Linked DNA regions of Caenorhabditis elegans. The protein of the gene in region 1 interacts with the protein of each later gene in a pairwise test. Each region holds a gene or a part of one and is shown in the gene's direction. Other genes may lie near its edges.

Region 1 (9,539 bases):
TCTAACTCATCGTTCATTTTTTTCAAATGAAAACCAAAGGAAAAGTGAGAGTTGGCAAAATTTGTTTTAGTGTTTTGTTTGAAAGTGAAAATGTTTTTACCATGAGCTTTATAAACAACTTTCTCGTGATACATATATCTCCCTAACAGCTATAATTACCAATTATAATTATATAGCAGCAATTTTATAGTTTGAGACAAAAAGTAAAGTTTCGGATTGTAAACTCCGCTTTCCAGATAACAATTTCAAAATTTAAGCTTCTGAAAAACTTATATTTGAATAAAATTGTGCTAAAAACGAGAAGTTTAGTTGTGAAAATATGTATGTACATTATTTATCAAAAGTATATTATTTTCTATAGTTTGCAACATTGTTCTGCATCATCCGCTTTTTTTGTGATTGTAAAATCAGCTGGTTTATCCGAGAAGAAAAAAAATGAGGTGAACGTTGCCTGAAATAATTTAAAAATTTATTATTTAGACTAAAATGTTCACCTACCACAAGCAATAGGCCTGAATTAATACAAAACGCAGTTGCCCATTGTGCCCGGCTATTCTCATCGTGAACTGTCAGAGCTACTAATGCTGGAACAAAGAATAATGCAATTGCTTTGCAAAATTGTATTGCAGCAATCACGACGTCCGCATACTGTAATGCCACGTATCTTGCACATTGATAATATCCACCACAGTTTGTAGACATCATACCTAAACATATACCATAGTTTTCAAAAATAATTTCAAAACGAACAGTTAACAGCTGTAACCAAGGTCATAGCCCACCAGCGATGAGCTTCATCAACAAATCCAACGATTCCAAATAGAATAGACACAATACCACATGATATAAAATTGAAAATTAGCATTTTAGTACGAGGACTAATAAATGTAACTTTATCACTAATATACGCAGCGAGTAATTTGAAAGGGATCTGTGCAAAATTGGTTATACTGATAATAAATCCAGTTTGTTCGATTGTAAATTTCAAAACTTGATTGAAATATATTGGAGAGTAGGTTATCAGAAGGATTGACATTGATAAATCCATGAAAGCATTGAACCAGCAACAAATTATTGCCGGATTCTTTATCATTGCAAAGTATGGTATTATTCTGAAGTTTCGGCTGGTTATACGTTTTTGATAAACTAATACCTTTTAGTTTCATAATGTTCAAGTGATTTTCCATCTTGAATATGTTCCAATTCTCGAGTCCCAACAAATCGATGAGTCGCTGGATTATCCGAATAAAAAAACCCATAAAATAAAACAGATAACACTAGCAATCGAGTGTACGTAAAATGAAGATTCCCATCCAAAAGATGTTGTGCAGAACTAAAATATGGGAAACTGAACAATTAGTGAATTAGTTCTTCCCACTTATGCTGCCTTTAGTAAGTAATAAAAATTCAAAACTTTAAATTTTATACTAATTCTAGTGAACCTACCCATCCCGTTAACGAATCCGTAATTGAGGTGGCAAACGGTGAGAATATCGTTAGAGCAGAGACGAAAAATGCGTTCTCGTCAAGCGGAGCCCATTTCATACAAATTATTCCAATAACTGCAAAGTCTGCTGCATAAGAAATTCCTTGAAAAAATCGAATGATTAAAAGTAGATAGAAGTTGGTTGAAGCCATTGTGGGAATTAATACAGTCGATATAAATGAGAGAATTCCAGCCGAGAGAAATGTGAACCTATTGGAATAATGTTAATATGTATTAGAAATTACTTCCAAAAATATTTACCTTGCTCCAAATTTAACATAGCACCAATTATATGGAACAGTTCCTAGTACAGTTCCAATTGCTACCGCCCATATTATTTCTGCTTTTTCATCACTCGAATAGTCATAAATATTGTATTCAGTCTGGAAATAGGCGTTAACTTTTTTTTGATTCAGTAACTTACTCCATTTGGAGATGTCCTAATACCAGATGAGTCATTCTTCATACAAATGAATGTAAAATTTATGACTGTATAGTTCGAAAATATACTCATTAGACAGAAAAATGCAACAAACATAATTAAAAATCGAAATATTGGAATATCTTTTACCATTGTAGGCAATCAGTCAAACCGAATAAAAAAATAAATTCTCAATTACTTCTCCATTCTGAACTATTTGAACTGTTTGATGAAAACCAATGAAACAAGTGATTATAGTCTCTGTTTTCGTTAATTTTGAATTTTGCTTGATAAGGCTGCAACAAAGATCAGGTTGACATATATTTTCAGTAATTTATTTTAACCTGTACTCTATCACTGCCGGCTATAATAAGTTCTTGAATAAAATAATTTTCCCGACAAAACATGAGTATTTCTTTCGAAAATAAAAGTGCAGGCTAATTAGAGATTATTCTGTAATTAACTGCATAATTTGTCACGTGCCATAGTTTTACATTCCACTACGTCATAGTTCTTAAAATACTAATCTCCTGAAAATAGAAGTAGGTGAAGAAAGTTTAATTATCAGTTCTAAAATGACAATTGATCTTTGGAATATGTTCTGAAACTACCGATCATTGAACAGATGCTATTTGAATGATATAGAATTGTATATTTGCAATTTCTGAAACGCGTTCTTAAAGGCACACAGATTAATTCAAAAGGGTCTGGCCGCAAAAAGGTTTATGGTGGCCGATTTTGAGTTTTGTGTGTGATTGCTTTTTCACAATCAGTGTTTTCAGGATTATGTGATGAACTAGATCTTCAAGTTTCGTTACATTTCATATGTTTTCGGAACTCACGAAGTACATATTGGGTATTGTGCTCAAAAAATTCAGCAATCAGCTTCGCTCCGCTGACTTTAGAACCCAAAAAAATAGTATGGCCAAACTGACTGTGTTACGATCATTTCAATTTTTCAATACATATTTAAGATTTCTAAGAGTAAGAAGGTCAAAAACTGTTCTGGAATACATATATATTTTTCAGGTTACAATTAGTCAAAAAGTGCACTGAAATATACGTTTTAATTTCACGAATAACCCAATTAGTTCAATGTATTTTTGGTCAACCAACGTTAAAGTTTGGCTTCCAACCAATTATCATTTCTGATCAACCACAATGTTTTTTCTTTATCTGCAAGTTAATTTTTTATTTTTATCCAGATGTTTGGCATATTTTTCAATTCTTCACTAGCGCCCACTTCTTGCACTTCCGGCGCCCTGAATCTAATGCATCTGTTGCAAGAATTGAAAGACCAATCAACACATTGTTTTCTTCACGAGATACTGAAGAAAATGAATAAAAACAGAGAAAAAGAGCCATGTGATTAGTGACAACTGTTGCTAACAGATACCATAGCTTGGACTTGGTACGTGATGGCAACGTATGGGTCAACAAAAATGATTGCAGAGGGGGTGCAAAACAGTCAAGTCGAGAAAATATGAAAAACAGAAAACAAAGAACAGAAAAATGGGTTTGAGAGTCAGTATAATTTATAAAAGAAAAATTGTACATAGAAATTAACCATTTTTGTAGAAGAAGTTATTTTTCAAGCATCGTTAAAAATTATTCAAAGCACCTTATTTCATATTTAATTTTAAACATGGTTAAATGAACAACACGGTGCGCAATCAGGAAAACTTGAAATCTGAAACTGTTGTTGTGATCTTCTTCGCAACTGTTCAGATAGCACTAGTGTAATGTTAAGAGTGCGCGAATATAATGGAATATAATGGATCACACCTCCTGCCATCAGGTAAACGTCTCTGTTATCACATATTTCCAACTATTAAATTTTTACCTTTTACAGTTTTACATTTTTTTGAAAAAAGTAACTTTTTGTCTTCAAAATCCCTGACGAAAATATCAAATATTTTAATCGAGACTGCAGAGGAACCGATTGATGATTTGGAAAATCCAGCTTTACCTGTGTAAGAACTGAAAAGTTTCATAACCCTAGGGTATTCCCAGTTACATTCCCCACTGGCTAACAATAGCACCCAGTTTTTCATCACCTTTCTTCAAATTTCTCGGCGATTTGTTAAAAACAAAATTTGTGTCCCTTCTCTGATATCTCTATGTCTCTAAACACAAGTTCATCGGAAAACGAAGGAGGGTAGGTGTTGGTTGGGCTCCCGAAGTGAAAATAGAAGAGCAAGAATAGAATATTAGAGAGAGAGTGCAGAGAGGGCGGGATAGCTCCCGGGATTCCGTTTTCTTCTTCTTTATCTTCAACGATGATGTGTGTGCGTGTTGTATAGATTCTGTTGCTCCCCCACAACTCGCTCCGAAGGCTCAATACAATTCAATTGATATTGGAGGAGAGCCTACCGGAGTGGGAGGATAAGAAGAAACATAAGAAGAAGAAGAAGAAGAAGCATGCTTCTGGTTTTTGATGCTATGAAAACGGCACAAAAAGATGATTGAGGTCCCTTTTCAATACCTTCTCTCATCTTTCAAATCCCATTGAAACCTAAAACTTCTCACCACGCTTTACCATTGTTCTCCAAAAACTTATAGCAATGTCTATAACTTTTTTATCTCTGAAAAGCAGTGTTCCATTTTTCTTTTTCCTATTTTATTTCAATTGTTTCTCACATTTCGTTTGGATTCTTTGCTTGTCAACCAGCTTCTTCTTCCACTTTTACCGTCTAATTTTCAGGGCAGGGAGCCATCAAACCCACGACCACTAGATCCATCTAGAAATGTCTGGAAATCCAGACGCATTCGAAAATGATCCAGGATTCCCATTCTTGGGAATCTCGAGAGAGGCCAGAGCTGCCACTGCTGCTCGTCCTTTTGATTCCAAGAAGAACTGCTGGATTCCGGATCCAGAAGATGGTAAGTCTTGATTTCGAATTGAAAATTTTAAAGAAAAATTTTGAACCACGTGCTGTAATATTTGGCAAGAATATTTTCCCATAATTTTAATAGTAACTGTGATATGTTCTAATTTTAGAAATCAGTTGTCAACGCTAAAAATGTAAGGGTTACAATAGTGGTATTGCAAAGAGTTATGATGGTTAAGTTTGTAAATACTTTTTTTCTGTTAATGAAACTAATTTGGATACAAATTTTTCATTTGATCTAAACAGAACATCTTAATCAAAAAACACTTTAAAACTCTTGCTTTGATATTGTTTGTTCAATTTCCTAATTCTTACCAAACCAATTCAAGCTAACTTTCATTATGTCCATTCCATTAACAAAAACTATTATTACACCTTCTCTCTCATCGCCAGTGTCCACATTCATCCTACTCTCCTACGCTTTCATCTGTGTCTCTCAGATCTGCATTTTATCTATGATACATCACACTTTCCACCGACCCCGCCGGGCAACCAGTGGTGGCGGATTTTTGAACATCTGAGGTTCTCTCATCTCTCGGTCATCTGATGAAGCACATACACACATACACACAACGGCACTTTGTAATCTTTCCGGAGAAGCGGGCAGGCACACACGTACGCTATGAAGCCGGAGCAAGAGCTTCTCCTGCCGTTTGAACTGCGGCTTCTGCTGTTGGCAGGAAAGATGATGAGATTTCTTGGAATTTAAGATTGAGATATTTGACGTCCCACATTTTATGGATGGACAACAATATGTACATGTTTTGAAGATTTAATATTGAAATGTGGATATGAAATCGGAATTTAAAAAGTCAAGGTCAATAAAATGGTAATTCTGACCAGATCTATTATTCGAGGATGACAAATAAAACTAGGATTAAATCAAAAATACTAAATTTGAAAATGAAAAAGAAAAGATTGTTCTATAACTTATAAATCTCACAATAATGATTTTTGTACAGAAACAAAAACTAAATGACATAATCGAATAAAACATTCTGATTTTAATCAGCCGCATGCGACAAAACATATATTTCTTGGAGGCTAATATTAAATTTCAGGATTCGTCGCCGCCGAGATCCAATCCACCACCGGCGAACAGGTGACCGTGGTAACTGTGAAGGGAAACCAGATTACCGTCAAAAAAGATCAATGCCAAGAGATGAACCCGCCAAAATTCGACAAGACCGAGGATATGGCTAACTTGACCTTTTTGAATGAGGCCTCTGTTTTGGGAAATCTCAAGGATCGTTACAAGGATTTGATGATTTACGTAAGGAAATTGAAACTATTCAAAAAAAAAATTAATACTATTCAAAAATTGAACCGACTTAATTTTCAGACATACTCCGGACTTTTCTGTGTTGTAATCAATCCATACAAACGTCTTCCAATCTACAGTGAATCTGTAATCAAGCACTTCATGGGAAAGAGACGTAATGAGATGCCACCTCATTTGTTCGCTGTCTCTGATGAAGCTTACCGTAACATGGTTCAAGGTATGTGAAAATTTAATTGTTTTAGAACTTTATTTTTCAAATTTCAGACAAGGAGAACCAGTCTATGCTCATCACCGGAGAATCTGGAGCTGGAAAGACTGAGAACACCAAGAAGGTTATCTCCTACTTCGCTATTGTTGGAGCCACGCAAGCTGCTTCCGGCAAAGAAGCCAAGGATGGAAAGAAGGGAGGTACTCTTGAAGAGCAAATTGTGCAAACGAACCCTGTGTTGGAGGCTTTCGGTAATGCTAAAACTGTCAGAAACAACAACTCTTCCCGTTTCGGAAAGTTCATCAGAACTCATTTCTCTGGATCTGGAAAGTTGGCTGGAGGAGATATTGAACACTGTGAGTGATCTTTTATGATTAGTTTTTAAGAAAAAATGAGATTGGAGGAATTTAAATTGAAACTAGTGAAACCATTCAAAAAAGAAAAATATTTTCAGATCTTCTCGAAAAATCTCGTGTCGTCCGTCAGGCACCAGGAGAGCGTTGTTATCACATCTTCTACCAGATTATGTCTGGAAACGATCCAAGTCTCCGTGGAAAGCTTAAGCTTAGCAACGACATCACTTACTATCACTTCTGCTCGCAGGCCGAGCTTACCATCGAAGGAATGGATGATAAGGAGGAGATGAGACTTACTCAGGAAGCTTTCGATATCATGGGATTCGAAGACAACGAGACTATGGATCTTTACCGTTCCACTGCTGGAATTATGCACATGGGAGAAATGAAATTCAAGCAGCGTCCACGTGAAGAGCAAGCCGAGCCAGACGGTGAGGAAGATGCTCTCAACGCTGCTGCCATGCTCGGAATCCAAGCTGAGGAGTTCCTCAAGGCTTTGACCAAGCCACGTGTCCGTGTCGGAACCGAATGGGTCAATAAGGGACAGAACTTGGAACAGGTCAACTGGGCCGTTTCTGGACTTGCCAAGGCTATCTATGCCCGTATGTTCAAGTGGATCATCACCAGGTAAATAACAAAGAGCAAATATTTTTAATTAGGGTAAATATTATTCTACTTATTTTACTTTTAGATGTAACAAGACCCTTGACGCAAAGGAGATTGAGCGTAAGCATTTCATCGGAGTGCTTGATATCGCTGGATTCGAAATCTTCGACTTGAACTCTTTTGAACAGCTCTGGATCAACTTTGTCAACGAACGTCTTCAACAATTCTTCAACCATCACATGTTCGTTCTTGAACAAGAAGAATACAAGCGTGAAGGAATTGCCTGGACCTTCATCGATTTCGGACTTGATCTTCAAGCCTGTATTGAGCTTATTGAGAAACCACTCGGTATCATCTCTATTCTTGATGAGGAGTGTATCGTTCCAAAGGCCACTGATATGACCTATGCTCAGAAGCTTCTTGATCAACATCTTGGAAAACATCCAAACTTCCAGAAGCCAAAGCCACCAAAGGGAAAGCAGGGAGATGCTCACTTCGCTATTGTTCACTACGCTGGAACTGTCCGTTACAACGCCACCAACTTCCTCGAGAAGAACAAGGATCCTCTCAACGACACCGCTGTCGCTCTTCTCAAGCACTCTACCGACAACTCCTTGATGTTGGATATCTGGCAAGACTACCAGACTCAAGAAGAGGCTGCCGAGGCTGCTAAAGCCGGACAGACTGCAGGAGGAAAGCGTGGAAAATCATCTTCATTCGCTACCGTCTCTATGATCTACAGAGAGTCTCTCAACAACTTGATGAACATGCTTTATCAAACTCACCCACATTTCATCCGTTGTATCATTCCAAACGAGAAGAAGGCTTCTGGAGTTATTGACTCTGCGCTTGTTCTTAACCAGCTTACATGCAACGGAGTGTTGGAAGGAATCAGAATTTGCCGTAAGGGATTCCCCAACAGAATGCTCTATCCAGATTTCAAGCATCGTTACGCTATCCTTGCCGCTGATGCCGCTAAGGAATCTGATCCAAAGAAGGCTTCCGTCGGAATCCTTGACAAGATCTCTGTTGATGGAAACTTGACCGATGAAGAGTTCAAGGTTGGAGAGACCAAGATCTTCTTCAAGGCCGGAGTTCTTGCTAAGCTTGAGGACTTGCGTGACGAGATTCTTTCTAGAATCGTTACCATGTTCCAATCCCGCATTCGTTCTTACCTTGCCAAGGCCGAAGTTCGTCGTCGTTACGAACAACAAACTGGATTGCTTGTTGTTCAACGCAATGTTCGTGCTTGGTGCACACTCAGAACCTGGGAATGGTTCAAGCTTTTCGGAAAGGTCAAGCCAATGCTCAAGGCCGGTAAGGAACAAGAAGCAATGGGAGAGCTTGCCGTAAAGATCCAAAAGCTCGAAGAAGCAGTTCAACGCGGAGAAATTGCTCGTTCCCAATTGGAATCCCAAGTTGCCGATTTGGTTGAAGAGAAGAACGCATTGTTCTTGAGCCTTGAAACTGAAAAGGCTAATCTTGCCGATGCTGAAGAAAGAAACGAGAAGCTCAACCAACTCAAGGCTACCCTTGAGAGCAAGCTGTCCGATATCACTGGACAACTTGAAGACATGCAAGAACGTAACGAGGATCTTGCTCGCCAAAAGAAGAAGACTGATCAAGAACTTTCTGATACCAAGAAGCATGTTCAAGATTTGGAGCTTTCTTTGAGAAAGGCTGAGCAGGAGAAGCAGAGCCGTGATCATAACATCCGCTCCCTTCAAGATGAGATGGCTAATCAAGATGAAGCTGTCGCAAAGCTTAACAAGGAGAAGAAGCATCAAGAAGAATCCAACCGCAAATTGAACGAAGATCTTCAATCTGAAGAAGACAAGGTTAACCATCTTGAGAAGATCCGCAACAAGCTCGAGCAACAAATGGATGAGCTCGAGGAAAATATTGACCGCGAGAAGAGATCTCGTGGTGATATTGAAAAGGCAAAGAGAAAGGTCGAGGGAGACTTGAAGGTTGCGCAAGAGAACATCGATGAGATTACCAAGCAGAAGCATGACGTTGAAACTACTTTGAAGAGAAAGGAAGAAGATCTTCACCACACCAATGCTAAGCTCGCTGAGAACAACTCTATCATTGCTAAGCTTCAACGGCTTATCAAGGAGCTCACTGCTAGAAATGCCGAACTCGAAGAAGAACTTGAAGCCGAGAGAAACTCTCGCCAGAAATCTGATAGATCCCGTAGCGAGGCTGAACGCGAGTTGGAAGAACTCACCGAAAGATTGGAGCAACAAGGAGGAGCCACTGCTGCGCAACTTGAAGCCAACAAGAAAC
Region 2 (10,074 bases), on another chromosome or scaffold:
GTTGATTCGCATGCCCATGATGGAACAGATCATAAATTCCATCAGCATAAATTCGCACAGGTCGGCCAGCTGTAAGTTACAGAAAGCTACAGATATTTTTGAAGCAAATAAAGAGAAAAAACGAAGAAAAACTGAGTAATAGAGAGTCGTGGCAACTTCTGTACTCTTTAAGTGCACACACTCTTTTTTTTCTAATATTCAAATGTTTCGAGAACGTAGACGGTATTTTCTAGTTATAACTCGCAAATTTTCGCAAATGGCTAATTTTCCTTTTTACTATTAGAAATTTCAAGTATATTCCAATATAATATTTTCAAATTAAAAATTCTCACCCTCATTAGCTTCTGCCATTGCCAAAGTTATTTTCTTTGAATAATCCACCGCTTCTCTTGTCGTAATCGCCAACGCCTCGTCGGAAAATGGAGCTGGCTCATCTGATGCCAACGACCTGACAACGTACTCCACTTCCGTCGCCTTCTTCTTCACCTCCACATCTTCTTCTTGTGGTGAGTCCATTGTTCTCTTTCGTTGTGGCATCTTTCTGAACGATCAACGGTTAAATATGAAACTTGTTAGGAATTTAATTTTGAAGCGAATAACAAAATAGAAACACAAAAGTTTGTGTAGACTAGAAAACAAGGGGGAGTAGACATGGTTTTTTATTTTCTCATTTGGAGAAGCACACGAAATTGCGAAGTACGTGTGTTCTACTTATCAAAAGGCGTAAAAAAAATTGATAAGCGCAACGCCTCAAGGGCGAAAGTCTTCGGTTATCGTGCGATTCAGAGAAATCGCACCATTTTCTACTTCCAAAGTTTCACAATCGACCTAAGCCGAGCCTGACAAAGTGTGCAACGCCACGTGGGCAAATTTTTAAAGAAGTGATGTCACAAATTTAAAATTCTGTGAGTTGAAGCCACGCAAAACGTGCCAATGGAGAGTGCGTGCAAAAATTTTCGAATTAGAGAACTAGTGAAAATAAGGGAAGAAGCGGTGTTAGAAAGGGTCGATGGAGAAGGCGAATGGGGGGAAAAAAGACGCTGGACGGAGCGGAAAAAGAAACATAAAAGATGAACGTGGCACATTGCTTTTTTGCTTTTTTGAGTTCCCTTTTTAAGCGATGTTTTCACAGAAAAATAGTTTTTCTTAACAAAGGCTTTTTTTAAGTTTTGAAACTTTTTTTTGAGTTGACAAACTCTTTGAAAATCTAAAATCTGACGTGAACATTATACGCATAATTTTAACTCTAAAACTACAACAATAAATGGAAAAAAATGTCTCAGCTAATGCATTAATTCTTTGTTGTTTGTTTCGAGTTTCGCAACACACAAGAGAAAATGGCAAAAAAAATATGTGACACATGGGCAAACAGAACTAGTGATGGGACCCAGGCAACTAAAGAAAAAATGTTAGCATTTATATTTTTTGTTTTTTAGCATCTTCCGAAAAAGCGTATAATTAAGACGCTGTAAGGATAAGAAGCAGAGAGACACAGAGAAAAGAAGAAAAAAAAACAAAACAACTTGAGAAGACGACAAAAACCAAGCAGAAGGGCAGCCGAACAGAGCGCAACACGCGGCGAACAGCCATCTGGGCAATGAGCCACCAGGTTATACTACTACATTCGTTGTGTTTGTTTGTGTGGTCGAATGACACCACGCACAAAAAAATGGAGGCCACGGGAAATGATGGGCCAAAGAGAGAGAGAGAGAGAGAGAGAGGTGGTAAAGATGAAGAAGAAGATTTGAATGCGCGATTAGAAAAGAAAGTCACAGATGAGTCATTAAAGAAATTATGAGAAGGTCTAAGGAATTGAAATGTTTGTGTCTATTCTTGCCAGAAAATATAAATTTTGGCTTTCTGGTGCCTTTTAGATATTGGAAGTTTTATAAACATTTTTCTACATCCAGTTAACAGTGGAGTATCACCAGTAGGGACATTCTTAAAAAAACACTTCAATTGTGCAAAAATTACAAAATTTCATAGTGAAACCTTTCGAAAAAATATACAAAAGGTTTATTGAGAGTTACTGATATTGCTTTTTTTTGAGAAAACTATAGACTGCCGCATGTTCGAATCCCTACAATGGGGGAATATTAATATTTGTATTTGAAATTAATGTTGAAACATAAGTACTTACTTACTTACTTACTTAGTAGACTATAAAATACCAATGTAAAATTGTTTGATCGAAGACTACCAAAACAGTGGCAAGAAATTAGTAAAGATCATTTTAAAACAAAATAACAACTTTTCAACAACTTTTTGAAAATTTTACTTTGATATTGGATTAAACTGACACCTTATAAGTAGTTTTAACAACTTCCCTAGTGGTGCTACTTCACTTTTAACAAGTCTGTAGAATTTGGCACCTGACGCGGTCATTATGAATAAGATCGTGGCGAGACCCAAAAACAACGTGTGCCTTTTAATTGTTACGTCAAAGTTTTTTTAATTGATAAGTCAAAATTATGATAGCAGTTTCATTTGCATTTCTAAAAACTTATAAAAAAACACAAATTGTCAGATTAAAACTAAACTTAAATTCCACATCTTAAAAAGCACTTGTTATGAACGATAATTTTGGATAAACTTTATTTATTTACATAGGTATATAGTATTTATCTCATTAGTCTTGTTTGCCAAAGTGGTACTGTCATTGTTGTTATCAACAATACGCGTCAAAGAAAATTTTTGAAAAACTATTTTAAGTGATCATAGATTTCAAAGAATGGATGTGATATACCAATGATAAATACATTGATAACGTTTGGAAAACACTATTAATCATAACAACACATACTTCACCTTGTAAATTATTTTATTGCAGAGCCACCAAAGTTTCTTCAAATATATAAGATTCCGTTGGTTGACCCCAACTGCTCAAAAGTTTAATTGAAAAAAAACGGCAAGATAAATTTTTATTACACAACTTTTCTGATAGAAGTTTTGCTCCTAGTGTTAGGATTCTTGAACACCCATTACAACTCCAAACCCAACGGTACAAAGGTAAAAAACGAAAGTTAGTGAGGTGATTTGATTCATGCCATAATTGACGCAATAGATCTGTACTCTTAGAGGTTTCATTGACCCATCCATTATTGCTTGCCAAACGTTCTCTTATCTCATTTTCCCCTCAATCTGTCCACACTTTCTTCTCTTTGACACGAAAGAATTGAGGCCAACTGATAAAGATACAACTCAAAGAATCACTATACAAAAAGGTCATTCTTCGTGTTCATTTTTTCATGTTTCTCTCTACCATGAAAATATGACGTGCCGAGTCGGTGTAGTGCATTAAGAGCAAAAGTCAAGAGGAACCATTACAGAAAATGTTAGGGTGGTTTGCTGGGAGAGAAATTAGTTGTTTATGAGAAGAAGAGAAAAGAATGAAAAATGAGACTCTGGACTCTGGAACTACTCTGATTTCATAGCATTTGATAGCGGCCACCACTGCGGTAATGCACGTTTATTGGAAAAGATGGAATTCGGATTGAAAGTTTAATTTTCGGATTGGAAAACGATAAAGGTGATTTTAAAAAAATCATTTTCATAGTTATTCATCAACTTGAGACGGAAAGTTGGAATGTTTTCATTGACGGACTAGACAAAATATGTTGACTGTTACTTGGTAATAAAAATAGATAGAATTTGTCATTTGAATTTAAAAGTTATGAATTAAGGCATTTTATATCGAGTGTGATGGATTTCAGGTAATTCTCTGATAATAAACGCGAAGAAACCGGAAATATAGACATGGTGCGTTGTTCTAAATTCATATTCAAAATGTTCCTCTGCCCACAAAATGAAATTAATATTTGACACTAAAAACGAATGTAGTATTAAAAAAAGAACCAATAATTTGATCCTATAAAAACGTTTTAAAATGTACCAGTTTTTTTAAATTTTTATTTATTCGTTTATTAGCTTTTTACCCCTTGAAATTTATCAAGGGGTAAAAAGCTAATAAACGCTGCGAAGGCGGGGCGGGAACGTTTAACCGGTAATAATGTAGTTTTACTGTTCCATAAGGGAAGATACTTATGTAAGAAGTTTTTGTGAGGCCACAAGTACACAGTAAGTATGGAAATCTAGGAGGTCCGGCTTTTCTGACAAGAGAGGATTTTATAAAGTAGGGCTATTGGTTCGTGGTATAAACGTATTGACTCAAAATGTGCTGGAAAAAAAAAACAAATTTCGTAGTGAGTCGCTTGTTCTCTTTTAAAACTTTATATTTAGCCCGAGTAGTGAGACTGTTTCATATACCGTATTTCTTCTATTAGTCTTGCATGCAAGACTAATTTTCCATTGGTCTGTAGGGTTGCAAGACTATTAGAGGCTGCAAGACTAGTTTTCGAATGCCCCATCTTTGAAAAAATGACCTATTTTTTGTTGAAAACTTAACTCGATAGCTTGCTGAACGATAAAAATATATACTTTTGCAATATTTCATAAATTATTTGATCATTTTCTAGGTTATTTTCTCAAAAATATCAAATTTGCTGACGTTTCCGCAAAGTACTACTGGTCTTGAAAAAAGAGGGATGCAAGACTATTAGAGACTGCAAGACTAATAGAGGCTGCAAGACTAATAGAGGAAATACGGAAAACTGTTTTTTAATGAAAAAGGGTCTGGTTACTTTATACTTGTTAAAAATTTAACAATTAAATGCATTTTTGTTGTGTAAAATTTCAACATTGGTGCACTTTTAGCCCGCTTGTGATGCATGAAAGAAAGATCCGATCAATCCAGAAGGTGGTGCAGCTCCAGTAAAATGTTTATTCCAATTAAAAGTCATAAAAGTCCCACATAACCGTTTAGATTCTTGAGAATTTTCATTCAAAGTTGTGGTAAATTGCCACAACTAGAATAAGTTGAACCTATGAAAAATATTAGAGCAATTCTGCATTTTTTTAAATGTCTACAATATATGTATATACAAATGATCAAATCATAGTTAGAATATGAAACTTGTATGTAGAAAAAACTATTTTTGCCGTGTTCCAAGATTGTGATTTGTGAAAACTGAATGATAACTACCTTTTTGAAAGCAAAATTATTTTAGATTATTTATCACTGTATAAAGGAGTGATTACAAAAAATCACCCTGACCGATGCTTCACATTTAAAACAATAGCTTCATAATCCTGCATAGTTTCAAATAATAGTTTTACAGTATGTAATTTAATATTTTTACAATTCATATTGAATAATTTCTAAAATATAAACTTCGTTGATCCTTTTCGATTATTATTTCAAAAAAAAAGTACTCTTTCTTTTGTTTGTACCCACATCTCCAAATCATTTGCACGTGTTCAACGTACTACACAAAATGTATGTCACCCACAAACACTAGCATCTGTGCCATTCATTTCAGAAACATGATTCCGCTTTGAAGTTATGTCGAGCACTGCAATCTAGACGCTTTTTTTACTTGTGTCGTCAAGATCTCTTTCTTCTTTAAGACAGTTGAGCAAGATTGAGGGAGACTGCAGACACAGAAGTGTCCCGCAAAACATCCAACGAGGAAAGGAAATGAGAGAGCGGGAGCATTTCAAAAGAGCACATCAGATCCAGAGATTGCAGAGGCGATTTCTCGCATTTTTCGATCGCGACGAGTCTCTTGAGTTTACACTGTGTGTTGAGCACCCCAGCTAGCCACACCGAGCATTCTACCCTCTGACAATTTTCACCCCCATTCCGACGACTAACCGCTGATATCCAGATACAACAATGGATGACGACATCTTCAAAGAGGTATTGTTCTTGATCACTGTGAGCTTTACTTAAATTTGAATTTTTTAGGCAAGAAAGGAAAGAGATGACTTCGAAGAGTTGATGAATGCCTGTGATCTTGCCAAGATGTCCGTGAAGAACAATGAAGTGAGTTAGAGAAACCGAGAGATGACGGAAAAACCGGAGAAAAACGCGGGGGTGTCTGTATTGCGAAATGATTAAAAAAATACCTTCCAGATGGTTCATGGTCTAGAAACCTTCGGCATCAATGGAGAATCGTCAGAAAATGGAAATAAGGAAAAGCCCAAAGAGATCATGAAAGTTGTTGCCCCAACAGTTGAAGCATATGTGAGTTTGGTAAAATTTAAAAAAAAGAATTTCAGAGATTGAAATGTTTGATAGGTTTTAAGGCAAATTTTTTTAAATGTTTTTAAGATTGGATTCATACTGACATTTTTCAACCCTTGGATACAAGTGAAAAAATGTTGAATTATCTGAATAGTGTCTGAAAACGCTTAAATACTTTAAAACAGCGCCATCCTAATTTGATTTTAAAAGCATCAAGTAAATTATTGTAGGTCGGAAGTTCAAGTGCTCAAACTCCAACAAAATCGAGTGGCGGTGCTTTGGATGGCAGTGATCAACAGGTTTGTTTTATTGTTTTTATGAAGTGTGTGTTTTTGTGCATTTTTTGTTGAATAGTTCGTGCTTTGAATAATTTTTAATTAAAAAAACATTGATTAGGAATGTAGTCTATAGGTTTGTACAGGCAAAATTTCCGGAGAAAATGAAACTATATTTTTTGAGTTGTTTGAGAGAAATTGTTAATTTTTTGCTGAATTTTAGATAGTTTAGAAAAGGTTTTATTTTCTAATTTTATAATTAGCATACTAGTAAAAACTTATTTGCCAGAATACACAAAGACAAACTCAGTTCTAATTTAATTTAAATTTAGCCCATTGTCGAAGTAACCATGTCCTGTACATTTGTTGGAAGAGAAAGCTCAGCAGGATGCTAAGAAGAAAAAAAAACAAATTATGATTTTTGTTGTTTGTGATTTTATTTTTCTCTTATCATTTTCAAATACTAACTTGGAATATAATTTCTTGCTGCTCCTTATGCTTTTTTCCTTCAACCTATCCATTTCCATTCTTCTCCTTTCCCAAGCTAATTCACATGGGTATTGTTGACTTACTCTTGTTTGTGAATAAACATTTTGCTGTTGTTGTTGAAGTTGATGCGCTCACTTTCAGCACACGAACCAAATGTGCGGAATATAGATGTGAGCATTGACAGCTTGAATGTGAAAGAATGAGGGAAATGGGAATAAAAGGAAGAAAAATATAAGATGAAGGAAAAACTGAAGAAGGGAGGGAATGAAGAAGGCGTTAAATGAAAAAGAGACTCTTTTAGTCGATGAAAAGTGATTATTGCAGGAAGTGCGTCAGGACGGAACTAGTGTGCAAAAAGATGACAACGGATTTGTATTCTACAAGTGTCGTTTCTGCGGACTCACATTCAACTTCATGAACACTCTCCGTGCACACGAGAGAATACATGACGTTTCACAGGTTTTCATTCGCTGGATTACTTATAGAAACTCTTTGTTTCAGCCATATGTCTGTGGAAAATGCGGAGACTCATTTGAATTTGCTTGCCAACTGGAATATCATGCCGCTCAGCACTCAGAAATTGACGGGTACAAGTGTGAATGCGGAAGGACGTTCTTTTCTTACACGGAAATGTTATATCACAAGCACACGGACGATCCACTCGAATTGATAGGTGCTCCAGAGGTTTGTCTAATTGAGAAATCTGAGAAATAATAAATTTACTAGATTTTACTAATCAGTAGAGCTTTTTGAAACAAAATCTGAATTACGAACTTCTCGGAAAAAAATCAACAGAATCTAGCTATGGCTGTTTTAATGTTTGATTTTTTATTCTTCAGTTCTTTCGACTCAAAATCTATCAAAACCTTTTCATCCAGCCATTCGCTTTTCAATTTTGTATTTGGTTTTCATAGTCCTTGATGTGAGAAAATTGTGAACAAAAACTTTGTGTGTCTTGGCTTTCTGACGTAAAAAAAATATTTTTCTCAACAAAAAAAAATTGCTGATAGCCTGTGAGAGGGTGCAATTTGATACGACTGCACTTACTTCTTGCATCACAACTGTTAAACAGATGGAATTTCAGTGCAAAAAAAAGAAAACGTTATGAAACAGAAGTTATGAAACCGAAGAAAGTTCCAAATTTAAAAACATGTTTTGGTCGTTTACCTTACGTTGTTTTGTTAATGAAGATACGTTTCAAGCAATTAGGGACCAAAAATTACCACAATTTGCTACCTAAGTCTTTGTGACTGGGAAAAATTGAAACAACTCGAGTTTTTGACTGAAATTTGGGTATTGCCTTTTCAAAATTTTGAACCCCCATAAACAAGTTTTTAAGTAATTTTTGAGAAGTAGTATTTCAAATTTCGTTCGTTTGGTTTTGTTAAAAATCACACGGAAAAAAAGCCGAAACCGTTTTTTTACTTTAACAAGGAATACATTTGTGAGAAGAATGAAGATTACCAATATAATTTGAAATACTTCAGACAACCACAATAAAAGTAAGCAAGAAGCGAGTCCTACCGGTCTCCGAGCAAGATCTTCCACAGCCAGCTTTCGTTACTGAAGGATACGAGCCGAAGCATCCACTCCGAGTGTACAACGACGTTCGTTCAAAACCATACATTTGTGAATATTGTTCGAAAAGCTACTCTGACAGTCGTGGTCTTGCATATCACATGTACAGTCATCGTGGAGAGAAGTACTTCAATCCTCGAGCATCTCGTTATATGATGGGAAGGGAAGGAGTTGGGTACACTGATTCCAGAAGCTACTATTTATTCCCAAGAACAAGCGGATACGTGACTCCGCGATTCTGAGCAACCCCTGAGTATTTAAAATTTTTCTAATTTAGTATTTAAATCTATCCAGATCTTGTAAAATATATATATATTTCAACATCGGCTAGCTTTAACAATATTTGTCCTTCAAAATGTATATTCGATATGGTTCTTTCATATAACTCATATTTCTTTCTTTCAACTAAATCAACGTTTTTCTTTAGTGTTATCGTTTTCTCATTTCTTGTCATTTTGTCTTTTCCTCACATTTTTAAGACGCTCGTTATAAAGACGGTCAGCAGCAGAAACTCGTTTTGTGTTCAACATAAACTACAATTGACTACAAAGCACAAAAATCGTGTGTTTCCAACGCACTCAGACACACTCTATAAATACTGTTCTCGTCATGTCTTGTTGGTATTTTCTTCTTTCCCTGAAATATCGATTCCTGGTCAATCGTACAATTGGGACCATGTTAAGCGGGAAAGACATTGACCGCTAGCACAAATGTTGTCCGGCTCTCTCACAATCAATCTTTCTTCTGTGATGTGTTACGACAACCCACAACCGATTTTTTGATAGCAAAAATGATAAGATGATGATAGCGAGACAGCTCAATTGTTCGTTGTTCTAGAAGTTGTACGTTTTTTTAAATTTATTTTGCATCATTTTGAATTCATTATTTAAAAATGTATAAAATTGTTTAATTAACGGTTCTCGAAATATTTTGCCACTTCACAGCCACGATATCTCACTCAATAAAGCAAATGCAATTTGGGACACGCACTTGTGTTCGTTATTAATATCGAGTCCCCATTGAAAAAACTAGGCCACGCGGCCGTGAAGTACTCTCGGAAAACTACACCATTTTTTATTTTTTTATTCTACTTATATTTTCTCAAATCTCTTACTTTCAATTAATGCTTATAATTAAGACTCACAAAAATAATTTTTAGGTATGACACAAGAAAGTAACTCAAACTTTTTCAACTTCCTTCTTTTCGGGTTTGTGACCGCTATTGCCTTTTATTCGGGTACCCAATTCAACAAATCTAGCGAACAGGAAGAGGTAACTCTTTACATTTTCAGCTGATTGCGCACATATCCATTTACAGCACATCAACCATGCTAACTTGTATTCGGTAAAGAAGTTTGATGATGGAGCAAAAGAATACTCAATAATGTTGATCACCGATTTGGATCATGACAGCAAAGACGGGAAGAAGTGGAAAAGTTTGGTCTCTCGTGGATTTTTGAAGGTGAGAAGGACGGCAAGAAACTAATGCATTATGCTCAGCTTGACCAATATGATTTTTATAAAATGCAACTTGCTTTTTTCGAATCGCTATAGGAAATTTTCAAATTTATATTTCAGGTTTCTGCAGACCACAAGCATGCCGATATTCATTTTGACAAAGACTCGGAGTACTATGTTGACACGTAA
Region 3 (12,665 bases), 390 kb from region 1:
ATTGTGAAAAATAACTTCTTAATCATGCGAGCATCAGGAGCAGCAAGTCTAAAATGTTGTAGTTGTAGTTTTTTTTAAATACATACTGTTGCGTTTGACCTTGAAAATCTAGTCTGAATAGAAAAATATAACAATTTTATGCGATAAGTAAATTGACCCCAAGCTCAAGAAAATTAACTACTCAATTGAAATATGATTGTCGTTCAGTGACTTCAGTCATTGAGAATTTTTAAGAATTCAACTTACTGTTTGAAAGCAATAAATTGAAAATATACATGTGATGTAATGAGTCTGTCCAATTGCTCTCTTTTCATATCGATGATGGTTTTTAGTGTCACATCTTCAGTATTTGGTGGTGATCCGTTCCTGTCTTTCAACTGAGTGAAGTTTTGTCTCGCAAACATGGAATGGGCAGATCTTGGGAAGTTTATTGGTTTGAGCTCATCAAAAGGAATCTTGTAAACTGATGTTATTGGTAGAGGTTCTTCTACTGGTTTCTTTGCAACAACTACGTCTTGAACTGGAATTTCCATTGGTTCTTCTATGAATCTATTCAAATCCTCATTTATTGATCTCAATTCATCTACTGATGAAACTGATCTTCCTGTATCTACTAGTGCAGGGAATCTATTCGAATTTTCTGGACTTCTAGGAGTTTCTATTTTCACTGATTTTCTATTTGATCTAGCAGATTGGCCATTATCGCCTGATCTTCCAGTTTGAACTCTTGCAGAGTCAGCAGCCCTTCTTGATGTTGGTGTATTGTGAACACTTCTTCCATTTTCATAAAATTTAAAGTCCACAAAAATTTCAAGTTTCTCATTCAATGGCTTCAAGGAGTCTGGTTGATTCAATACGTTCTTATAACATAAAACGCCTTCTGGATTCGGACGTGGACCACCAACAAAGCTAACTCGTGTCTCCACTTCTTTTCCAGAAAAGGCTCCATCTGAGAATGGAGTCCATGCAGCCCATCCGATTAGAATAGTCTGATTAAGGCTTTGATTGTCTTCTCGGTGAAAGGTGTATTCAAGCAAGAATATGATAGCCATTCTTGGATCCGCATACAGATTTCGAAGTGCCAGACGCGGGTTTCCAGCAGCTTGAAATAGCAGTTGTCTGAAATTATGAAATTATGAAAAATTCTTCTTTTACGACAGGACAAGATTTTAAAACTTACTCTTCCCAATTTGATGATTTCCCAAAGTCAATAGGTTTCTTTCGCGATCTTAGAGTATCACCAGCATTTGAGGAGATTATTTCCAAGTCAACTGTGAATGGTTCAGTGACATATGTGTACCCATTGTGTACTCCGATCTAATAATAAAGTATAAATAAAAAGATAAACGATTACTTGTTTCTTGCAAAAATATTTGAAAACCTGGACGAATTCAAAGTAATGTAAAAATGATTCCTAAGTTTCACTGCACCTTCCGTGTAACAGCAAATATCATGTTTTTAGCCAACTTTTCACCAAAAAACTCACTCTCAATTTTCTATCCATTATGATTGCTTTTGGTTTAAGAGTTCCTCCTTCTTTCAATGCCCATTCTTTTTCAATATCATGTGTAATTTGTTTTTCTAATTCAGGTACATTATTCTTGAATTGAATTACAATTGCATCAATTGCAGCGGGAATTGTTGGCATCTCTTTTGGCGTGCTCAACCACCATTCTGACACAAAACATTAAAAAATTAAAAAAAGGAATATTTGTTAACTAACCATCAGAACTGTCTTTGATTATTCCAGGAATAATGTCTTTGTCGCAAACAATGCAAAATTCAGGCAAACATTGGAAGAATATGGGTGGCATTTCGAATATGTTGTATGTACATTCAACATTTCCAACTGGTTTTAAAACTGTTTCTTTATCAAAAATTAATAGTTTTGGAGTTCCACCAAATATATCGAAACTAAAGTAATAAGAAAAATTATGTTGGAGCAATAATTAAAAAAACTCACATTTTAGTGTTTGATATTTCTACGGGCGTTTTCTTCTCGATATGCGTTGAAAACCATCCAACGCTTGTGGCAGGCGCTGTAATTTTTGTACTTTTCGGGTTTTCGAATGTTCTTCCATCTAGAAAAGTTTAAAATCTAATTTATTTATTGTATTTGCCCTATGCAAGGAAGAAAAATGTTTCAATTAGTGATTTCCAAATGTTTATTTTTAATGCGAGTTTATTTTATCGTGATATAAAACTTATGTTAGTATAAATTTACTAAATTGTGCATTATTTTGAAACATATGGTCATAATGATTCGGAAAATTCTCTGAATTATTGAGAAGTTATTTAAAAAAATAATGACTGAAAGACAAATAGGAGCTAAAAAGCTATTTTCAAATATTATTTTGAATGAAAAGCCAATAAAACATTATGATAAATAAATTTAAAATGTTCCTTTAAAAATTTAACAATTAAATAACTTACTTATTTCGTCTGATCCTTCTTCCACAAATTCAAGAATAAGAAGCACATCTCTGCTGTTTATAATTGAGTAAAAATATAATGTCTGCAACATATTCCAGTTATTAAACAAACTTGTACAATTTCTACTTCATTAAAAACACAAGTTCCATTACTATTCGCTGGAATCCATTCTGTTCTACATTGCCTCCCAAACATTTGAGAAGTCTTCGTGTCGAATAAAAAAGCACTAATCTGGTATCGAATGTTCTCAGTCAGCTAAAGTATTAAAATCATATATTAATTAATTATATCGTTTACACATACCTGTGGAGATGTCAAATTGGAAATGAACATTGAATAACACAAAGCTTTAGTTCCTCTCGAAACATTACGTTTCATTTCAACTGGCCGGTTTGCCAGAAACAACGAATACCAGTCGTTGACCGACATTTTTCGAGACTTTGTTACCACAAACTTTAGTATTTTCAGCTAGTTTCTAGGCAATAATATATAGAAACTAAAAAATAAACGTTCAAGAAGAACGATAGAGGAAATACGATAGAGAGTGAAAAGAAGGAGTATACGAATTGGAGAGCGGGTGCTGGTTGTCATGGAAATGAGAAGTCCCAGCTGCTGGGAACACGTTGGATTACGTATATTGAGCATTAATTTGATGTAATGTGTAAATTGTTGGGAAATGTTTATATACTGAATAGTTTTGATTATGCTATTGCATTTTGTATTGAGAGTCGTCGTTAGAACAAGATTAGATCAAATCACTTGATTTTTTTTTCGAAATTTTTTTACAGAAAACTAAGTACTTTTCTATTTTGAAATGTTGAAATGATGCCGTTATCCTTTAAATAAATATAAATCACAATTTTCCACGAAGTATGGTTAGCCACTTTGGATGAGAAACTCCAGTTCCTTTCTGGAAACAACTCACAACTAATTTTTTTTAATTGGTCAAAACTTTTTAAATGTAAACTGGAAAGGTTCCTAAAAATTACTACCTGGGGTCAAGCTGAATTGAGGAACATCTTGGCCACACTTCGTAAAAATTCTATAAGTATCTTAGTAACTCCAGTGAAAAAGTTCAATAAGCCGGCAACAGTTACTAGATTTCCGTAAATTGTCTATGAAAGTTTAGACAGGAGAAACCTCTTAAAATTGGGACAAAATAGACTCTAAATCAAATTATTATTGAACATATTTTTACAATAGCACAGATCGTGTTGCAGTGATTAATAATGTTGTTGATATCATCTGAGAAAGTTCAGGTTCTCAGAAAAATGCAATCTCAAAAATGTACTTTCCCTGATTTTTCCTAGTTTTTTTTCTTTTTTTTCACTTCAGTTCACCCCCGCGATTCAAAGTTTACAAACAGCTGCTGCCGTGTACAAAACGTGATTCAGACTTCTCTATGACTCAGATTCCACTTTTTTGAAACGAGAAATTGTTTCGGTCGTATTCAAATTTAAATTTCAATACCCAATATAAGAATATGATGATGATGCATCAATTCACTGTCCTTCCATATCCCTCAGAATTATCCCTCGAAATCTCCGAATAAGACGTAGAAGACGTCAAAACAAAAGGGAAACTTTTTGTCCCTTTTCCATCATCTTCTCAATACTCCTTCCATAAAAGTCCTTTATTTCCGGGGCGCACACTCACACGCTGCTGCTGCAGTTGCCCCAACATAGGCCATACGTACCCAATTTTATAATCCATGGGAGTCGGGCAAACAAACTCAATTCGGTCATCTTCTCCATCTGTCGAGTCTCTGCTCATCCCGAAGGGAACCGTCCTGCTTCCGTCCGTCCCAATGTCTGTGTCTCTTCATCTCCATTGACCAGTGTCCTTGCCTCTTCGTCCTCTATTCCCGCCGCTCGTCCGTTCTTATACCCTTCTCTCCGCTCACTCGTCACCCGCTGACTGACCGACCGGCCAACCCGACTGAATCATCATTTCTTTATGTGTCTTCTTTCTCTCTATATTTAACAGTGTCTTCGTACACCGGTTGATGGTGCGGAATCATCGTTTTCACCATATTCACTTCTCACTCGCAAATACCTCAAAAGTTTGCTTTTTGTGACTTTTTGGCTTCGCAACTTTTTTATTTGAAAATTTTTGAGTGTGAAACATATATTCAACATGGCAAATAAAAACTAAGTTTCTTCATTTTCGGTCGAAATTTTAATTTTCGAATTTGTTTTTTTCTTAAATTTTATTTAAAAAATAGTTATTTCCTAAATTGCCGGCATGTGAAACATAATCCCCTATTAATTGTTTTGTTTTTTCGTTGAGTAAACACCCGAAAGGCCTCACAGGCCCCACCACACTTGTTTCTCGCTATTTTGCGAAAGGATTTTTTATTTTTTTCATTGAAAATTTAATTTTTAATTTTTGAAAAGTTAGAGTAAAGATTTTTATTTTATATGAGTCATTTTCTCAAAGAATAAGTAAATTCTGTGTTTGCCAATAAAGTTTAACGGTGACAGTACCCTCTTGGATCTCTTTGAGACCAACCACCCCTTCTTTATCGTGCGCCTTCAAATCTAACAGTAGTTCTAATCGATACTTTAATGTAAGGTTATGTATTTCTTTTTATATTTTTTGATTTCATCTCAATATAAATATTATTTCTCTTCGTTTTATTTGCATTCTAATCTGAATTTTCAATTTTATTAATTTTCAGAATGCCTGCGAATGGCAATTCTCATGCGTATTTCAACATCGACGAAGTGCGCTCGAAAAATGTTTTGAAACAAATTACTCAATTAATCAATGAAGTGACCAACATCACTGAAACGTTTCCGTTAAAACCTGGACAAACTACTGAAGGACTTGTCGCCACTCTTGATGCTGCCGTTGCTAATTTTCTTCAAACGGGAAGCTTTGCAATTTCGAAATGCCCAATTGCAAACAGTGATCCACGCGCAATTGATTTATTGCACGAAGCTCTTGGAGCAGTTCAAGATACTGGGCAAGTGATGATTCAAACTGGAAGAGATTTTGTCAGAGATTCAACTTCAACAAACAAACGAGCTATTGCAACGAATTCTGGTAGAAATTTGTTGACTGTAAGTTTTTAGGTACTCTTTTAACTGAAAAATGTTGTATTCAGGCTGTCGCTAAATTCCTAATTCTTGCCGACTCGATTGATGTAAAAGTGATAGTTGATAAAGTAGATGAAGTTCGAGAAACTGCACACCAAATGATTGAAGCGGATACAAAAATCAAAGTAGATGATTTGTACAATCTTCTCATTTCTCAAATCGAAGAACTTGATATCACTGTTCGACGACGAGCCATTGATTTGGTTAAACCAAATCAGAGAGATGATCTTCTAGCAGCAAGATCAGCACTTCGACAGACTGCACCACTTCTGTATACTTCAACACGAACATTTGTAAGACATCCAGAACATGAAGAAGCTCGAAGAAATCGTGATTACACTGCAGATGAAATGCATTCTGCTTTAAATGCTCTTGAATCTGTTTTAAACGGACAACAACCGAAAGTAACATTTTCTGAATATGGAAGAATAGGCGATCTTATCAATGAAATCGATACTTTTCAAGTGAGTTTAAAAATTTCAAATAATAAGACAAATAATTTATTTTAAGAATCGAATCGAAATTGATCCAGCCCATTATCGTCGAGGAACTGATCGTCCAGATCTTGAAGGACATTGTGAACGAATTGTTAGTGGTTCTGCTTCAATTGCCGATGCTGAAAGCACTCGTGAAAATCGAAAACAAAAAATTGTTGCTGAATGCAATAATTTGCGGCAAGCTCTTCAAGAACTTTTGACCGAATATGAAAAATCTGTAAGTTTTTTCTATTGATCTCTTGACTTGTTGCCTCGTTTAAAATAAAAAGAAATAAAAAACATTCAAAGAAGCGCATCTTTTTCACAAAAGGGCGATGGAGACGGTGAGAACAAACAAACAAACAATCGTGCGTTCTTTCAAGTGTGACGCCTTGTCCCTCAGGGCGAGAACAACTGTTTTTGTTTGTTAACCGAACTCGAACTAAAGCCGTTTTTTAGAAAAAAAAATGACCACCGCGAGTTCAGACATGGAAAATGTTTTTTTTAGAATTTCGGGGAAATTCTTTAAAAAATTTGTAGTAGTAGAAAATATAGAGACTACAAAGTTTTTACAATAAAATTTAAAGCTTATTACGACCTGTTTAACTATGTTTTAAATCTGTAATTTTTCAGACCGGCCGAAGAGATGATAATGATGATATTCCTCTTGGAATCGCAGAAGTACACAAAAGAACAAAAGATCTCCGGCGACACCTTCGTCGTGCAATTGTAGATCATATAAGTGATGCTTTCCTGGATACCCGTACACCGCTTATTTTACTGATAGAAGCTGCTAAAGAAGGCCATGAAGAGAATACAAGATATCGTTCAAAGATGTTCCAAGAGCATGCAAATGAAATTGTTTCAGTTGCTCGTCTTTCTTGTCAACTTTCATCAGATGTTGAAAGTGTTAGTGTCATTCAGCATACGGCTGCTCAACTTGAAAAACTTGCTCCACAAGTTGCTCAAGCTGCCATCTTACTTTGCCATCAACCTACTTCAAAAACTGCTCAAGAGAACATGGAAACCTATAAAAATGCTTGGTTTGACAAAGTGAGATTGTTAACGACTGCTCTTGACAATATCACTACTTTGGACGACTTTTTGGCTGTCAGTGAAGCACATATTGTTGAAGACTGTGAGCGGGGAATCAAAGGTATCACGGTAAGTATTTTAGTTCTCAAAATTTTAAATTTAATGAAAATTAACAAAAATAGTTTTCGCTAAATTCGTCAACTTTTGAGACGTTCAAACTGAATTTTCCAGGCAAACGCTTCAACACCGGATGAAAATGCGGCCAACTGTGAAACTGTCGACTGTGCTGCCGGATCGATACGTGGACGAGCTCTCCGAGTCTGTGACGTTGTCGATGCTGAAATGGACTTCCTTCAGAACTCTGAATACACTGAAACTGTTAAGCAAGCTGTTCGGATTTTGAAAACTCAACGTGTAGATCAATTCGCTGAGCGTGCGAGCGCTTTAGCCAACCGTCAAGAAGCACACGGACTTACATGGGATCCAAAAACAAAGGAAGAAGAAATGAATGAATTTATCAATGCTTGTACATTAGTTCACGATGCAGTTAAAGACATTCGACATGCACTTTTAATGAACCGAAGTATGAATGATGTTGATTCGGATGTAGAGTATGAAGCTGATGGTGTTGGTGCAGCAAATGCAGATGCTAATCGTACGATATCCGAACAAGAAAATCAACAGAATCTGATGAGACGATTGCCAGAAGAAGAGAAAAAGAAAATTCAAGCACAAATTGATATCTTCAAAGTAACACAAACACGATTCGAAAGAGAAGTTGCCAAGTGGGATGAAACAGGAAATGATATTATATCATTGGCCAATAATATGTGTAAGATTATGATGAGTATGACAGAATTCACAAGAGGTTGTGGGCCATTGAAAACGACAATGGATGTTATCCGAGCAGCACAAGAAATCTCACTTAATGGATCAAAACTAAATGCATTGGCACGGCAGATTGGAGAAGAAAGTGCTGATTCGCAGACGAAAAAGGATTTGCTCGCATATTTGTCACAAATCACTCTATATTGTCAGCAACTGAATATTTGTAGTAAGGTGAGTTTTTTTAATTGGTGCCACGAGCTGTAAAAGCGTACCAAATGTTTTTGGTCAATTGTTTGTTTCGGGGGTTTTTTAAATTTGTCAAATTAGTTTTTCAAGAAAATTGTAAAGATTCACAATTAAAAACGCGTCTATAAAAACTAAAACTGAAAAGAATCTCGTATTTTTCAGAATTATCTGAAAAGTTTTTGAAAAAATTGAGAATTAAAAAAAAAAACTTATAGATAGTGTGATATTTCACCAAAAGAGGTTTCAACTGTTTTTAACGATTTCAGTAGAGATATAATTTTACTTCGCGTTTTTTTTGCGAACCAAGCTCTAGACTGAAGCCATGAAAAATGAAAAAAAAATTGTGATTGGCCTCACTTATACTAGAAAATTGTTCATATACTTACTATAAATAAGTTTTGTTTAAATTGCTTTCAAAAAACCATGTGAAATATAACTTTAAACTTTTAATAGAAAGTAATATTTCAGGTGAAAGCTGATGTGACTCAAGTTGGAAATGAGCTTGTCGTATCTGCACTTGACTCTGCAATGTCTCTTATTCAAACGGCTCGAAATCTTTTAACTGCTGTTGTACAGACTGTTAAAGCTGCATACATTGCCAGTACCAAGGTTGGTTCCCTTTCTTTAAACAAAACATTAATTATTATTCCCACTTGATGTCTGATACTATTGCTTTCCAGCATTTATCACACATTTCTTTTTTCGTACAGACGATAACGGCTGCTTACGTAATTCATTTCAAATCAGATGGTATTTCGCCCACTCTTTTGAGTAGACACGTGGTTTAAAGTGCCAATAGACCAGTTGCCTTTTGTACACTGAATTTTGAGATTTTAGAAAGTGTACCCAAAAGTTTTAGAAAATTAAATAAATAAAATTAAAAAAAAAAAAAAACATTCTCAATAGTGTGCACAACGCGAACGTGCTCGAGTCGAATCAGCCGTTGCGCTTAGCGATGCTCACAAAGCTATTAATTATGAAAGTCCGATGGATGAATCTGGTGAGAAAAAATGAGAAAGCATTAAATATCGTGTTGTGTGGTTTTATCGATGTTGTTTTTGAGAAAAAGAGATATTGAGCATGTCGAATTTAATTTTTTGCTTTTTTCTCAAAATTTACGTTGGCTGCTGCGTAATTTAATGGTAAATATTTTTTATAGTTAAAAAAAGCTTATGTCTTGAGTTCAAATCAGTGGTTAAGACTATTAATGTTTGACGATTTTTTTTTAATGGAGTAGGGATTTTGCTTTAAAAAAATCCAGAATAGTTTGATTCTCAGAAATACCCAAAAAAGAGAAAGAATGAAATGTCGAATTTTCGAAAATCAGATTTTTCAATTTTTGGCGATTCCCTATTTGAATTCTCTCAGTTTGGTGCGAATTCAAACATGGAATTTAGCCAAAAATTAAAAGCAAAATCTCAGATTTTTATAGATTTCCTGAATCCTAGAAAATACAAATTAATTTTCATTATATTCCAAAAAAAAGAAAACAATTCCAGTTAAATATGTTAATTCAAATTGGTAAGGACATCCCTTTCTTATTTTCCCTTCACACTTAAAAATCGTTTTCCCAACAAAAAAACATTTAACTTTCTAAAAATGCATTGTATCGGTCTTGATGTGTGGACATCGATCCCCCAATATGTCGGTCTTGTGATCTTATACTCCCCCGTAAAAAACTCATACATTTTAAACTAGATTGTATTGCAACTTTAACTAAGAAAAGAAGATTAAGTTGAAAAAAAAACTTGAAAGAAATTGATACGAACGTAAAATATGTGTTATTGTTGATGAAAAGTGTCTCGATGTTGTTTGCTGTTGGTTTCATTTTCTTAAATTGCTCGAATGCTTGGAATTCTTTGCTGATAACTTCCTGAAACTCATCCTTATTCTTGCAGTTCCGTCGTCCTAATGCCAACAGTGTACGTGTCGAGTGGCGAATGGCTCCACCAAAGAAACAACCACTAATTCGACCACAAAAGAATAATGCTATAATCAGGTAACGTTTTCATCTATTTTTTTTGAATCAAGGATCCCTCTATAAGTGTTTCCTTTGCCTGCAAAAGGACATATGACACACTTCATTGAGAAGCCATGTGAAAAAAAGTAGTCGGTCCCTGAATAATTCATAAAAAATAGCACTGCCACCAGAAAATGGCACGTAGCTGCCATTGTCAGTAGTCCCAAGTCCCTTTTTTTGTGGTAAAAGTGGTGAAAGCCGAAAGAGCTGCGACACCAAAATGTATATTCTTGACTTGTTGAGCAAAAGTGTATCCCTTGAGGATCATAAATGCAAATTGAGTTTTCGGAAAGCAAAAAAAAAGCGACAATGTTCATAAAAAGTGATGAATAGTTGGATGATTTCGGACATTGAAATGAAAGTTTTAAAGCATCAAAAAACACAATTTTTCTTTTCTTTCAGAAAATTTTCCCCCCCTGAAAAAATTTTTGATAAGATTTCAGACATTTTTTAAACCTATTAAACTAAATTTTACGATTTTGAGATGCACCCCGTAAATCGACACAAGCGCTACAGTAGTCATTACAATAATTACTGTAGTTTTCGCTACGAGATATTTTGCTCGTCAAAAATATGTTGTGCAATACGCATACTCAGAAGTTGGTGTTCCCGTGATAGGTGATCACTAATTCTTGATCATTATCTATTCCATTACAGAAAATTAATTAGAATCCCCCTTTCAAAAGATGTATTCAACGAACGCCGACTAATGTTATAAAGAGTTTGCAGACGGGCATCCGAACGGCGACCTTTGCAACCAGCTAAAGTGCTCGCCGAGTTTACGCGTAACGAGATTGAGACGGGTCGTGATAGTGACGACGAGGAACTTGATCGCCGGCATCAACAAAGAATAAACGGTCGTTTATAGATAATTTATTTCAGTTTTATTCATGTATCTTCATACTTTTCCCTTCCAAATCTTTCCACACATCCTTTATATGCCCGAGTCTTTATTATTTTCTCATTCTTTCAATTCTCTTCAGCTAGAAATTTGTATCTGTGTATTTTTTGTATTCATTTCTGTTTAATGCTCTAAATTCTATCAGCTCATCACCGCCACCATTATCACCGCATTTTTCATTTTTCTCCCCCATGAATATCATAATCCATACTGTTGAAAATCAGGTAACTTTACATCTTTACAATTTATTTTCGCACTATCAACCTCACCCTTTCAACGATTTTTTCTGTATGATTCTGATTTCTAAACTCCCTGATCTATGTGCACAAGTTTTTCAAATTAGATGAACTCAATTCTTTCCTATTTTTATTATGTATATAGACATCAAAAAGGTCTCGTACATCTGGCACCGTCAAAATTGTTGTGCCTGAGCATTACGAGCAGCTGGTACTAAACGGAAGTGTGTGCAACAACTCTCCTTCCACCCTCGCCTCCTTCTTCATTTGTACTACGTTTTGCTTTTCCCCTTATTCTCTTCTCCTGGACTACTAGCAACAGAAAGGGAGGAGGACATAATTGTTTTTTTCTTCAAGAGAGACTTCCCAAATGGATATCCCCTACTATTTTCACACATTCCCATATTGCCACCCATGTTTTCGCTTCAAGACCCAATTTCAATTCCCTAATTTCCTGCGCATTTCCGTGTTTGCACACGCGGCGAGTTACTTTTTAATTTCCTGAAAGCTTACGCCTCCGGGTTTTCCGTTTTTTTTTTTGCTGCTGTTGCTGCAGAAAAATCCTGGAAATCGCGTGCCTAAAGTGTATGGAACGCTGCTTACAGAATTTCCAACGAGATTCTAGAATATTCAACTTATTTTTCTTTCGAGAGACAAAGTGATGGTGGTGACCCAAATACTAATTAGTACTATTTTGTACGCTCATCTTGCTCCAGCGTCCTTATTAGTCTCATTATTTTGGGGCGAAAGTTGGCTGGTTTTTTGTCTCTCGTCATTGTTTTGGATGACCATAGAACATCTTATTTAGAAACTTGTTAGTAGAACTACGTTACAAAGTACAGTAACTCTACAAATCTCCAAAATGTGGCAGCCTCATTTTTGAGTGTTCCGAAGTCACGACCACTTGGTACAGTCAATCATGTAGAAGATATATAGTGACGTCATTCTACCAAAATAAGTGTTGCCCGGATTTCCAAAGGTCTAGCTAGAATTAGGAAACTCTGACTGTTTTATGCAATTGCGCTCTTCTGAAGAACGCTGGTCTCGCAACATTTCAAAAATCAGTTATGTTTGATCATTGTCTCCTTATTTTGAATACCCTTAAAAATACCTGTATATGAAAAATGGGTTTTTTTAAAGATATTTTAATTTGCCACATTATAGAGAACTTGCTCACTTGATCTATTTAGTAAACTGAGATTTCTCATCTGGATATCCTCATATTTTAAATTGAACACCCAGGTTTGTACTCCATTAAATCTCATAGCAAACTTATTGTTCAATTTTGAATATTTTGAATTTTATCTATCTAGTAATTATTTTATGACTTATTCCAGTGTTTTTAAAAGTTGTCTTGTCTACTTATTGTTCCTGTTTATCACGAAAACT

What was found.
Region 2: the proteins of myo-3 (region 1) and unc-98 interact in a two-hybrid assay, tested with the Caenorhabditis elegans proteins (one study listed by BioGRID).
Region 3: the proteins of myo-3 (region 1) and hmp-1 interact in a two-hybrid assay, tested with the Caenorhabditis elegans proteins (one study listed by BioGRID).

Annotation. Positions count from the first base shown.
Region 1 is NC_003283.11:12,229,416-12,238,954, reverse strand, and holds the start of myo-3 (Myosin-3), read left to right. Parts: upstream 1-4,611; 5' UTR 4,612-4,654; coding exon 4,655-4,790; intron 4,791-5,174; exon of another isoform or gene 5,175-5,310; intron 5,311-5,365; exon of another isoform or gene 5,366-5,558; intron 5,559-5,859; coding exon 5,860-6,071; intron 6,072-6,140; coding exon 6,141-6,297; intron 6,298-6,344; coding exon 6,345-6,644; intron 6,645-6,742; coding exon 6,743-7,271; intron 7,272-7,335; coding exon 7,336-9,539. UniProt on the Caenorhabditis elegans protein: Essential for muscle contraction. Involved in ovulation likely by regulating the contraction of gonadal myoepithelial sheath cells.
Region 2 is NC_003284.9:7,569,235-7,579,308, reverse strand, and holds unc-98 (Zinc finger protein unc-98), read left to right. Parts: upstream 1-5,719; 5' UTR 5,720-5,734; coding exon 5,735-5,758; intron 5,759-5,806; coding exon 5,807-5,884; intron 5,885-5,974; coding exon 5,975-6,085; intron 6,086-6,315; coding exon 6,316-6,384; intron 6,385-6,932; coding exon of another isoform or gene 6,933-6,952; intron 6,953-7,173; coding exon 7,174-7,308; intron 7,309-7,350; coding exon 7,351-7,533; intron 7,534-8,336; coding exon 8,337-8,669; 3' UTR 8,670-8,935; downstream 8,936-10,074. Other genes in the region: pcyt-1 (Putative choline-phosphate cytidylyltransferase), read right to left, coding at 1-69, 333-541, 6,933-6,952; Apyrase apy-1, read left to right, coding at 9,589-9,699, 9,746-9,889, 10,006-10,070. UniProt on the Caenorhabditis elegans protein: Probable transcription factor required for muscle structure.
Region 3 is NC_003283.11:11,840,764-11,853,428, forward strand, and holds hmp-1 (Vinculin), read left to right. Parts: upstream 1-5,113; 5' UTR 5,114-5,114; coding exon 5,115-5,498; intron 5,499-5,542; coding exon 5,543-5,998; intron 5,999-6,044; coding exon 6,045-6,248; intron 6,249-6,320; exon of another isoform or gene 6,321-6,543; intron 6,544-6,643; coding exon 6,644-7,174; intron 7,175-7,276; coding exon 7,277-8,104; intron 8,105-8,587; coding exon 8,588-8,728; coding exon of another isoform or gene 8,729-8,776; exon of another isoform or gene 8,777-9,025; coding exon of another isoform or gene 9,026-9,133; exon of another isoform or gene 9,134-10,017; coding exon 10,018-10,118; intron 10,119-10,859; coding exon 10,860-11,007; 3' UTR 11,008-11,402; downstream 11,403-12,665. Other genes in the region: nphp-4 (uncharacterized protein), read right to left, coding at 1-48, 247-1,119, 1,181-1,317, 1,487-1,674, 1,724-1,914, 1,964-2,039, 2,434-2,515, 2,560-2,688 and 1 more. UniProt on the Caenorhabditis elegans protein: Required for cell migration during body enclosure and cell shape changes during body elongation. Required for proper localization of other junctional components, such as pac-1.